Linked DNA regions of Stegostoma tigrinum. The protein of the gene in region 1 interacts with the protein of each later gene in a pairwise test. Links are inferred from orthologs where the notes say so. Each region holds a gene or a part of one and is shown in the gene's direction. Other genes may lie near its edges. The genes, in order: cdc73, tfcp2 and hsf2bp.

Region 1 (3,754 bases):
TGCCTGACCTTGTTATGCAACTATTCATTTCACAAGTTTACATTTCCACAGCATTCATTCATACCAGAAAAGAAATCTCCAAGCTTTACATTAAACAGAAAAATAAACAGCAAAGAGAAAAGAGAAGGTGAAGAGATTGAGGGAGGAACTAAGGAAATAGCTTAATAGAATTTTTTTCAGGGTGCTTATGTGCAGGAAGCTAGATAACAGAAGCAGTCTCATGTTAAAGGAACACATTATGGTGGTGTAGCAGAAAAAAGGGACAAATAAAAAGGCCATCGTTAGTGAAGATGTGTAATAGTACATCTGGAAGTCACTAGTTTTGAGTTAGGTGAGATCATGGAGAAACTTTAAGTAATGGTGAGAGTTTTAAAGTCAATTCCGAGTGGTACAAGGGATCTGTGGAGTTCAGAATAAGTGAGAGAGCAATGAGACTGATTGGAAGAGGGTGATAAATGACTCTTTGTTTCAGAGGTTGGTAACGTTGCCTGCATGGATGAGTTAATGTAGAATGAAAGCTAAAATCTGGATTCACTGGAGCAGTGGTGTGGAAGGTATTTATCACAAATTTTAATCTACAGTTAATAAGGCATAACTGCTGATCAGTGAACTAAATCAAAATCACTTTCATGAAATGTCTTAAATACGGCCAGCATATATGTCTGACTCATATGCATTATAAACCACTAGATATTAGCATCGTGATAGATTTGATTATGCTGACAGTGGTTTGATGTCAATTAACTTTTTTTGTATTTAATAAAATCACACTTCACAATCATGCATCCCAAAAGGATGTGCAGTCTTTCTCATTCGTCAATGTGTATAAAACTTCTTTGCGACTCATAATTCGAAATGTTATTGGTCAAACTTACACTGTCCAAACTAGTGTCTTCTACCAGAAGATTGACCATCAGAAGATTGAAGGAATCTTTATCCATCACCTTAAATAATACTGTCACTTTAATCGAGGCTGACAGCAAGCTGTGTGGGCCACGAAGGCAAACAAAGTGAATTAGTTATTCTAGAGAGTGGATTAGTTAGCGAATGAATTAAATACCTACCGTGGTTAGTGCATAAATTATCACGTTAGTGAATTGGTTGTCTATTTAACAAATTACTGAATTAGTTAGTTAGTTCTGGGTTCTTTCAGCCACAAGTTGCTGCGCCAGTCCCCGCCTCCTGTAGATGCCGTTGTCAATGGAGATCCTGCAAACTCAGCAACCACTTGATCACCAGTCCCCCATCAAAATGAAAGTTTCCCTACGCGTGTGTTTTCGTTTCCCCACCCCTTGCAGTCTCCTGATTTAGATCATTAGACGGCAGTTCCACTCGACCACAGTGCTAACATCCGTGCCTGCCCATCCGCCGGCTCAGGCAGTCTGCCCGGGCAGCATGAGGGTCCTGTCCCTCTTCCCTTCTCGACAGGCAGTGCAGCGGGGCAGCCCAGGCTCTCAGGACCCGGTTGTTAGGAGCCGAGGCAAGATGGCGGACGTGCTGAGCGTACTGCGTCAATACAACATCCAGAAGAAGGAGATTGTGGTGAAAGGGGACGAGGTCATCTTCGGAGAGTTCTCCTGGCCGAAGAATGTGAAGACGAATTATGTGATCTGGGGGTGAGTGCTGTCCGCGGGAGTGCTGCATGGATGGATGTGGAGGGTGGAAGGTAAACATTGTGGGGTGGTCGGGGAAGGTGCAGCCTGGGGTGAGTGGAGTGGAGTGCAGTTGAGTTGAGTTTGAGCAGCATGTGCGGGATCAGTGGAGCTACTGGCGGACACCTGTCAATTTCACTGATCATATCACCTAACAAGTCACTTTCATTGTCAATTGTAAACAGAAAATGGAGGGAATTATGTTTGTTTATTCAGTACGGTCAGCCGTCGTGGCTTGGGGAAACTGACACTTGTATCACTCTTTAGCAACAAAAAAAAGTACAGATCAGAGTGATCGCGCCCCTATCTGAACAAATTCGGCGAAGAAGCTGTTGCCGCAAACTTTTCTTGACTTTTTTTTGCAATTTTTGTTAAGTTGTTTGCTTGACTTTAATTGATCAAAGCTGCTTTTTAAACAAACGCACGCGATTTTCTTTTGCAGAGGTGTTGTAGCCGAGTTTCTTAAATGTGCAAAAGACTTTTCGTCCACCAGATTGAATGCGTTGTAGTTTATATTATAAATCACCGATTGTCGGAGGAGATGTTGAATCGAATTGCTGTGTGCTGTTTCCGGTGGCTCTGTTTCATTTTAAGGGCTCTTTATCTTTATTGGAAGAACAATGCACTCTCCATATGCTAGCTCGTATCACTGACTGGGAAATGCAAGCAGCCCCTCTGTTTCACTGCATAATAGTTACTGCTAAAAGCCAAATACATCAAATGCTTTTGAGGCATTTTGAAGTTATTCAACAAAAGGAGGATGCTTTAGTGAGCCAGATGATTCACATTTTAAGACCATCCAAACAGCTTCCAAAGTAACTTTTCAGAAAATTTCAAAACTAGGCCTTGCGATTGCTTGATACAGAGTACACTTTCTCGTCATAGGATGTATCCCAATTATAATACTGATATCAGATAATTAAGTGTGTTCAGAATATCAGATATTTGCAGGACTACAGCTGAAATTGTTGCTTGCTAAAAATTTAGTGTGTGATAGTTTCCAGCTGTTAGACAACATGAGTACCCTTCTTGGGAAGCAGCTTTGACATTGATTTGGAATCGTGTGTCAATTGCAGGAAGGACAGCAATAACTATAGCAGCTGCTGGTGACCCCAAACGATCGGGTGCAATGGACCAGAGAGAAGTTGGCTCTGTTTTCAAACCAATTTTTGATTATTGATTCTGATCTTAGTGAATTAGTTATTCTAGTGAGTGGATTAGTTATGTGGTTAGTGAAATACTCAGCTATTGAATTAATTACCTACCATGATTAGTGTGTAAATTATGGTGTTGGTGAATCAGTTGTCTATTTAACAAATTACTGAGTGTATTAGTTAGTTAGCTCTGCGTTCTTTCAACCACAAGTTGCGGTGCCAGTCGCTGCCTCCTGAAGAAGTTGTTGTCAATCCCACAGACTGTGAACTGTATGTTATGACAGGTCTTGAGAGAATTAAATTTTGCTGATCTTAGGAGTAGAAAGAGCTGTTAGTGTATTGTAAAACTGATTTTACGCAAAACTGTTCAGTCCTGCAGTCTGTGAAGCTCATAAAAAGAGCAGTCCTGCTTTTTTAATTGTATTCCTAAAAATATATTAGTAACAGTTGTGAATTTTTTCAGTGACAGATTCCTGTTACTATTTAGTACATTTCTGCAGTCAAACAGTTTTGTATTTGGGTGTGAACCTTTTACTTAGTACTAATTTGTTAGGACTCTTACAAAACCTGAGCACAATAAGAACTCTAAAACAGTGCCTATATGTTGGGTTTGCACTTCTTGATGGTAGCTATTGGGTGAGGACTAGGAGGATCTGTTAGTACACTGCTTTTGCTTTTAGTTGTGACGTAGACTACAATGGAGCCCTGTGCCAGAAAATCATTTATGGTATGTAAATGTTTTTGAGAACTGTAAGCAAAGTGAAAAACGTGAATATTTTAAGGTTTGATTTTTCTTTCCCACATTAAGAATTTTGGACCAGTTTGCTGCTTTGTTACCTAAAGCTAATTCTTGCAAAGCTCTAAACAACATTTTCAACTGATTATACAGAACTGTGTAATCCGTTTTAGTTTTCTTTAATTCAACCAGTAAGTATTGGCAGGTGAATT
Region 2 (3,754 bases), on another chromosome or scaffold:
ATTCAACTTTATGGAACATTTTGAAATGCTTCACAACCACTTTTTAAACGTAGTCACTGATTTTTTTTGGGAAATGTGGCAGCAAACCACGTAATAACTATCAGACGGATTTCTTCTCATTTAAATGGTGTTCAAGGCTCTTTCACGACCCCTCTAAACAGTCCGATAAGGTATTGGGTTCAATGCCTCGTTTGGAAGACAGCATCGTTACCAACTTCGATGACTCTCTCCTCCAGCCGTAGTAAATTTCGTACTCTGCCAGCCGTTTTAAAATGTCACCATGGTTTGCTGCAATTTGAAAATTTGTTGACGACCGTGTATTGAGTTTACTGTTAAAAAATGTTCCTCAAACTATCGTTCAGTCGGTATTTCACTGTTTATATCGAGTTCAAATGCATTTTTGAATGGAATGTTCCATCAGTCACTAGGGATATTTTCCAGCTTTATCTATCAGCAGTGCAGGTCTCCTTTCACAAGCAGAGTATGCGTCAGTTTTGCTCTCCTGATATTGGGTCGAAGATGGAAATTGCTCTATCGGAAAAAGTAGCAGTTGAAGCGACGTTATGGTTGTTAAACCATCTAACACTGACTGAATTGACAGGTGAAGAGTAGTCACTTGGGAAAGATAGCAGCGTAACTAACGAGGAAAGCATCTTGGGAAAAAATAGCGCAGGCAGAAATCTTAGAGTTTCTTATTTATTTACGTAATGTGGACATTCCTCATTATTTGAGTCAAACTGTGGAATTATAAAAAACAAAACCCTTTTCTGGTTCGTCACACTATTTAGTTAGAAAGCAGTCAGCCCAGCCTTCTGGCGGCTTGTGATAGGAAGGTTCGTTATGACGTCAAAGAGAGCAAGTAGGCCAGATTCCGACTGGCAAATGACTTTTGATTGACTATGTAACAGCCAATCAGCGTGATGTGTGTCCCGGCCGGTTCCCAGCGGCGCCATCTTTGATGGGTCGGACATGGCGCGCGGTGAGTGAGCAGTGAGCGCGCCCTTCCCTTTGGGTTCAGTAGCTTCTGATTTCCAGGCTTTCACTCAGCCTCTTCCGCATTGGGGAAAAGAACCTTTATTCTGAGCGCTTTTAACTTCCTTCGAGCGCAACTTGTTTCTAACTCGCACTACTGGCCTTGATTTGCGTGTCGCCATGGCCTGGGCGCTGAAGATGCCGATGCCGGATGAGGTGATTGAATCTGGGTTGGTGCAGGATTTCGATGCCAGTTTGTCTGGAATCGGTCAGGAATTGGGCGCAGGAGCCTATAGCATGAGGTATATGCTTGATATGTGCATGTAATTAGAAAACAGTGTTTCTATACAAGAAGTGTAGAACCCTACTCTCTGGGTATTGAGAGTTATATTCCATTGATCCACACCTCAATTTCCACAGGTAGAAGGGCCCGCCCGTGTTTACCAGCTCGAAACCCATTGAAACTTCAAACCCACATTACCAACATATAAGGTATGTCTACTTAAGACGGACCGTGCATGTTGGTAATGTACGTTACCTTTAAACACTGACTCCTGTATTGCCTCAGGGTTCAGCTTCCATTTCCTCCCCAGCATCTATTGTGAGATAATTTGTGCTGTTTTGCGTTAAAATACAACATGATTACCAGCCAATTGGTGCCCGATCTCGTGGGAATGGGTCATCCAAACCTGGTTCAATGAAAGCAAAATACAGCAGATACTGGAAATCTGAAACAAATAGAAAGTGCTGGAGAAATTCGGACCTAACAATATCTGTATAGAAAGCAGCATACTTAACGTTTTGAGACCAATGTGACTTCAGGACTAAATGTTAACTGTCCCTGTCTCTCTACAGATACTGCTAGACCTGTTGAGTTTCTCCAGTACTTTGTTTTTATTTTAAACCAAGTTCTGTTCTTGGTCTGCATGAACTTGTTGATCTTGGCTAGAGTTATGCTACAGTGCAGTATTCTAACTGGTTTCAGTGGACCCTGGGCTTGGGATGGGTATGGATGCTCCAGATCATTTTTCATTGACTTGTGTTGAAGAAAACAGATGTCCATGTTTTACAGAAGTATGCATGTTATTTGGCTGCAATTGCAATCTGCAAAAAAAAAGCACTTAACGTTGTGATAGCTGTTCCACCCTAAGAATTGCTACCTGGGGAGATTGTGTTGGGAATTTGATTTGGTTTGTACCACAAATTGAGTCCTAGTTACCAGCTTCGTCCCTTTTCTTGGCAACTTATCTGAGATTAAATCAGACTGTTTGAAACCTTTGTGTTGTATTGACAGATTCTGATCACACAGTCAAGCTCTGTGCTTATTTTCATCTCTTTACTATTTAGAATGCACCCCTGCATCAGCTCATCTGCTGAAACCATCATCCATGCCTTCATTACCTCCAGGTTTGACTATTTCACTGCATTACTGGCTGGTCTCAGGCTTTACCCAAAGCGCTGCTGCCCATGCCTTAACTTGCAGCGAGTTGCATTGCGTTATGTTATCACTCCTGGCAGTCACTGGCCTGCATTGTTACCTCACATTGTAACCTCTCAGTGTCTTGACTTCAAAGTTCTCCTTGATTTCAAATTATGACCTCATCCCTCCCTACCTCGGCGATTGCCTCCAGCCCTGCACCTTTGTTAGATATCTGTTGTCTTTCAATTCTGGCATCCGATTTGATTTGAACATTTGGTTTTAATTGGTCATGATTTCAATTACATAATCTCCAATTTCTAAAATTCCTCCCTGAAGGCTTCAACTAAGATGCTCCTTAAAAACTATATTTTTTTCTGCCCTAATATCATCATTTGTGGCTTTGTCAAGGTCTGTTTGGTAATCCTCTCGTTGGTGTGAATGTTGCAAAATTTTACTTGCATCTGATCATGTTGCACGGCCAGTAGAATGAATTTTAGTCTCCTGGATTTAAGTGAGCTGGTTCTTCAATGATGCAGTTTTGATATTTTCAAATAACCTGTTCGGATGAGTTGTGACTCACCTTTGCAGCAGGTGTGACCTGAACCTGGGCTTTCTGGTTCAGAGATGGGGTACAAATACTTGGCTGCAAGAGCTCTAAGATGTACTTATTTTAGTAAACGTGTTGGATATGTTATGACACACCTTTTGGAGTAGGCAGGTCTTGAACTTGGATTTTCTAGTTCACAGGTAGGAGCACTTACAGCTGTGCCACAAGAGCCCATATGACAACATTCTTAGCATGTGAATTCCTCCAGTTGCTTCACTTATTTCATGGTACTGGGGGTTTCCATTTTTCAAAGTCTAACTTGTCGGCTTACTTTGAATCTAATGCTTTAGTCTACGCAGCTCTGATCTCTGAAATGTATTATTTGAATATTGAGTCTTTATAAGTACATAGACAAGTACTTTTGGTTGCTGCATGATTTATTCTAGATGTAATTAAATCAAATTCTAGGTATAATCTGCCATTCACCATCTTAAACTGAAGCATTGTTAATAGCTTTTCATTTCTTAATTTATTTTCATCGCTACAAATGCTTTCTGTCATTTTCCCACATTTTCTTTTACTGTTCTGTGTTGAAGGCCCTTGAAGTATACTAGTTATATTAATTTTAATATAGGGGGAGATTAATTCATATGTTGCAGTTGTGAAATGCTTTGTAGTTTGTGTTTGGAGAACTGGTGAGGACACTGGGCTAAGTGGCCTCCTGTGCTGTAGCAATTCTGTGATTTATATTGACTTAAATGTCTATTAAACTGTCTGAATGAATGGGCCTCTGTCTCTTACTTTCCTATCCTTTT
Region 3 (3,754 bases), on another chromosome or scaffold:
CCCAAGGAAAATAGCCCCAGCCTATTCAACCTTATCCTGTACCTCAAAATCTCCAATCCTGGCAACATCCTTGTAAATCTTTTCTGATCTCTTTCAAATTTGACAACATCTTTCCTATAGCAGGGAGACCAGAATTGAATATAGTATTCCAAAAGTAGCCTAACCAATGTCCTGTACGACTGCAACATGACCTCCCAATGATTCCAGTCTCGGGCCATTTTAAGTGTGGAGTTTTCACACTTGCCCCGTGTCTACTTGGGTTTCTTGCAGGTGCTCCAGTTTGCTTCTGCAGTCCAAAGATGTTCAAATTAGGTGGATTGGCCATGTTAATACCTATAGTGTTCAGGGATATGCAGACTCAGTGGACTAGGGAAATGCAGGGTTACAGTGTTAAGGTAGGGTGGGTTAATCTGGGTCAGATGCTCTTCAGAGGGTCACTGGACTTAATGTGCTGAATGGCTTGCTTCTGCACTGTAGGGATTCTATGATTCTTTTTGGGTAGAACTCAACTTTAAGAAAGCTGCAATGACTATGATGGGGTCGTACTATAGGCCTCCCAATGACCAGCCAGAGATAGAGGAACAAATATTTAAGCAGATCATGAAAAGATGTAAAAACAACAGGACTGTTGTCGTGGATGATTTTAACTTCCCCGATATTGACTGGGGCTCCCTTAGTGCCAGGGATTTAGATGGGTCATCTAGGAGGGCTTCTTGGAATAATGTGTAGACGGTCCAACAAAGGAAGGGGCTGTACTAGACCTTGTTTTGGATAATGAGCCTGCCCAAATGATTGATGTTTCAGTGGGGGAGCATTTTGGGTCATTGATCATAATTCGGTAAGTTTTAAAGTAGTGATGGATCAGGAGCCTCAATTGAAAGTGCTAAATTAGGGCACGCCTAATTATGGCAGTATTAGGCAGGAACTGAAAAAAATGGATGCGACTGTTTTGAGGTAAATCTACATCTGACATCTTGGAGTCCTTGAAAGGCCAAATGATCAAAGTTCAGAACGAGCATGTTCCAATGAGAATGAGAGATAAGGATGGCAAGATTTGGGAACCCTGCATGACAAAATGTCACATGCGATTCATGGTAAGTTGGATATAAAGTTAGCTTGGTAGTAGTTGTGGAGGGTTAATTTTCTGACAGGAGGTCTGTGAATAGTGATATTCTGCAAGGATCAGTACTAGGACCTCTATTGTTTATAATATGTGTAAATAATTTGGATGAAAATGTCATTTGTTTGATTAGAAATTTTGCACGTGACATAAAAATTGGTGGAATTGTGTATAGTGAGGAAGTTTGTCAAGGGATACATCAGGCTATAGATCAGGTGGCACAGTGGCTCAGTGGCTAGCACTGCTGCCTCAAAGTCCCAGAGACCTGGTTTCAGTTCCACCTTCGGGGTAGAGTTTGCACGTTGTCCGCGTGTCTGCATGGGTTTTCTCTTTGTGTTCTGGTTTCCTACCACAGTCCAAAGATGTGCAGGTTAGGTGGATTGGCCGTGCTAAATTGCCCATAGTGTTCAAGGATATGCAGGCTGGGTAAGCTAGCAAATGGGAAATGCAGAGTTACAGGAATAGGGTAGAGGTGTGGATCTGGGTGGGATGCTCTTTCATAGGGGCAATGTGGAGTCGATGGGCAGAATGACCTGTTTCCACACTGGAAAGATTCTATTCTATTCTAAAGATCTGTTGAAAAGTTAAGCAGAGAAATGGCAGATGGTGTTTAATCCAGATAAATATGGGTGATGTATTTTGAAAGGTCAAATACGAGAGGAAAGTCTACAGTTAGGGGACGTGATGGCCTAGTGATATTGTCGCTGGACTGTTAACCCAGAGAGCCAGGTTATGTTCTGGGGACCTGAGTACAAATCCTGAAATGACAGACGGTGGAATTTGAAATCAATAAATATCTGTAATTAACAATTTAATGATGACCGTGAATCCATTGTCAATTGTCAGAAAAAACCCATCTGGCTCACTATTGTCTTAAGACCATAAGTCATATGGGCAGAAATTAAGCCATTTGGCCCATCGAGTCTGCTCCAACATTCAGTCTTGGCTGGTAAGTTCCTCAATGCCATTCTCCTACTTTCTCCCCGTAACCCTTGATAATCAAGAGCCTATCTATCTCAGTCTTAAATGTACTCAATGACCTGGCCTCTGCAGCCTTCTGTGGCAATGAATTCCATAGATTCACCACTCTGGCTGAAGATGTTTCTCCCCATCTCCATTCTAAAAGGTCTTTCCTTTACTCCAAGGCTGTGTCCTTGGGTCCTGGACTCTCTGACCAATGGAAGCACCTTCCCAACATCCATTTTGCCCAGGCCATTCAGTATTTTGAAAGTTTCAATTAGATCCCCCCCTCATCCATCAAAACTCCAATGAGTACAGTCCCAGACTCCTCAAACGTTCTTCATATATTAAGTTTTCCATTCCCGGGACCATTTTTATGAACCTCCTCTGAGTCCGCTCTAGGGCCAGTACGTCCTTCCTGAGATATGGAGACCAAAACTGCACACAGTGCCCTTTAGAGAAGAAACTGAAACCTTACCTGGTCTGGCCTACATGTGACTGCAGACCCACAGCAATGTGATTGACTCAGAGCTGCCCTCTGGGCAGTTAGGGATGGGCAATAAATGCTGCCTAGCCAGCGACACCCTCATCCTGTGAATGAATAAAGGAAAAAAATGACAAGACCCTTAAGAGTATAGATGTACAGAGGGATCTTGGGGTGCAAGTCCATGGCTTCCTGAAAGGGGCAAAAAAAAGTGTATTGGGTCATAAAGAAAGCCTATGGCTTGCTTGCCTGCATCATTCAGTGCATTGAGTAAAGTTGATAAGTCATGTTGAGGTTGCATAAAAAAATTTTAGGCTACATTTGGAATGCAGTGTGCCATTGACTTGATATATAGATAGAGCAGACAGCCAGAGACTTTTTCCTAGGGTGGAGGTAGCTATTACCAGCTGTTCCAAGAATCTATCTCAGCGGTACTCCACAAATTCCCTTTCTTGGGGTCCAGTACCATCCTGATTCTCCCAGTCTACCTGCAAGTTGAAATCCCCCATTACAAGTATAGTAATACCTTTGCGACTGGCCAATTTCAACTCCTAATCCAACTTACACCCTACATCCAGACTTCTGTTTGGGGGCCTGTAGATAACTCCCATTATGGTCTTTCTACCCTTAGAATTCCTCAGCTGTATCCATACTGACTCTACATCTCCTGATTCAATGTTCCCCCTCGCAAGGGACTGCATATCATTCCTCACCAACAGGGCCACCCCACCCCCACTGCCCATCAGTCTGTCCTTTCGATAACACGTATAACCTTGAATATTCATGCGCTTACATCCTGTGTGGATCAGCTGGCAGAAGTATTCACTGATATCGTCAGCCTCTCCTTGTTACAATCTGACGTCCCCATCTGTTTCATGAACACCCCCATTATCCCAATACCAAAGAAAATAACAAGCCTTAACAAACTACCGTGCAGTGGCTCTGACCTTCATAATCATTAAGTGCTTTGAGAAGCTGGTCATGGCCCACATTAACTCTAGCCTGATTCAACCCCCTGTAATTTGCCTACCGGTGAAACAGTACCACAGCTGACATCATTTCCCTAGCACTACACTCATTCCTAGAACATCTGTATAACCAAGACACCTACGTCAGGCTCCGACTCATCGATTACAGCTCCGCCTTCAACATCATAAACGCTTACAGAATAATCTCAAAATTCTGAGACT

The links.
Region 2: the proteins of cdc73 (region 1) and tfcp2 interact in binary tests that used the Homo sapiens proteins (3 or more experiments, as listed by UniProt). The two-hybrid records come from large-scale screens. The link is inferred for Stegostoma tigrinum from reciprocal best matches to the Homo sapiens genes CDC73 and TFCP2.
Region 3: the proteins of cdc73 (region 1) and hsf2bp interact in binary tests that used the Homo sapiens proteins (3 or more experiments, as listed by UniProt). The link is inferred for Stegostoma tigrinum from reciprocal best matches to the Homo sapiens genes CDC73 and HSF2BP.

What each region holds. Positions count from the first base shown.
Region 1 is NC_081361.1:34,777,683-34,781,436, forward strand, and holds the start of cdc73 (parafibromin), read left to right. Parts: upstream 1-1,439; 5' UTR 1,440-1,485; coding exon 1,486-1,616; intron 1,617-3,754. Other genes in the region: glrx2 (glutaredoxin 2), read right to left, coding at 876-941.
Region 2 is NC_081404.1:6,119,692-6,123,445, forward strand, and holds the start of tfcp2 (transcription factor CP2), read left to right. Parts: upstream 1-945; 5' UTR 946-1,152; coding exon 1,153-1,274; intron 1,275-3,754.
Region 3 is NC_081365.1:280,973-284,726, forward strand, and holds the start of hsf2bp (heat shock factor 2-binding protein), read left to right. Parts: upstream 1-995; coding exon 996-1,094; intron 1,095-3,754. UniProt on the Homo sapiens protein: Meiotic recombination factor component of recombination bridges involved in meiotic double-strand break repair.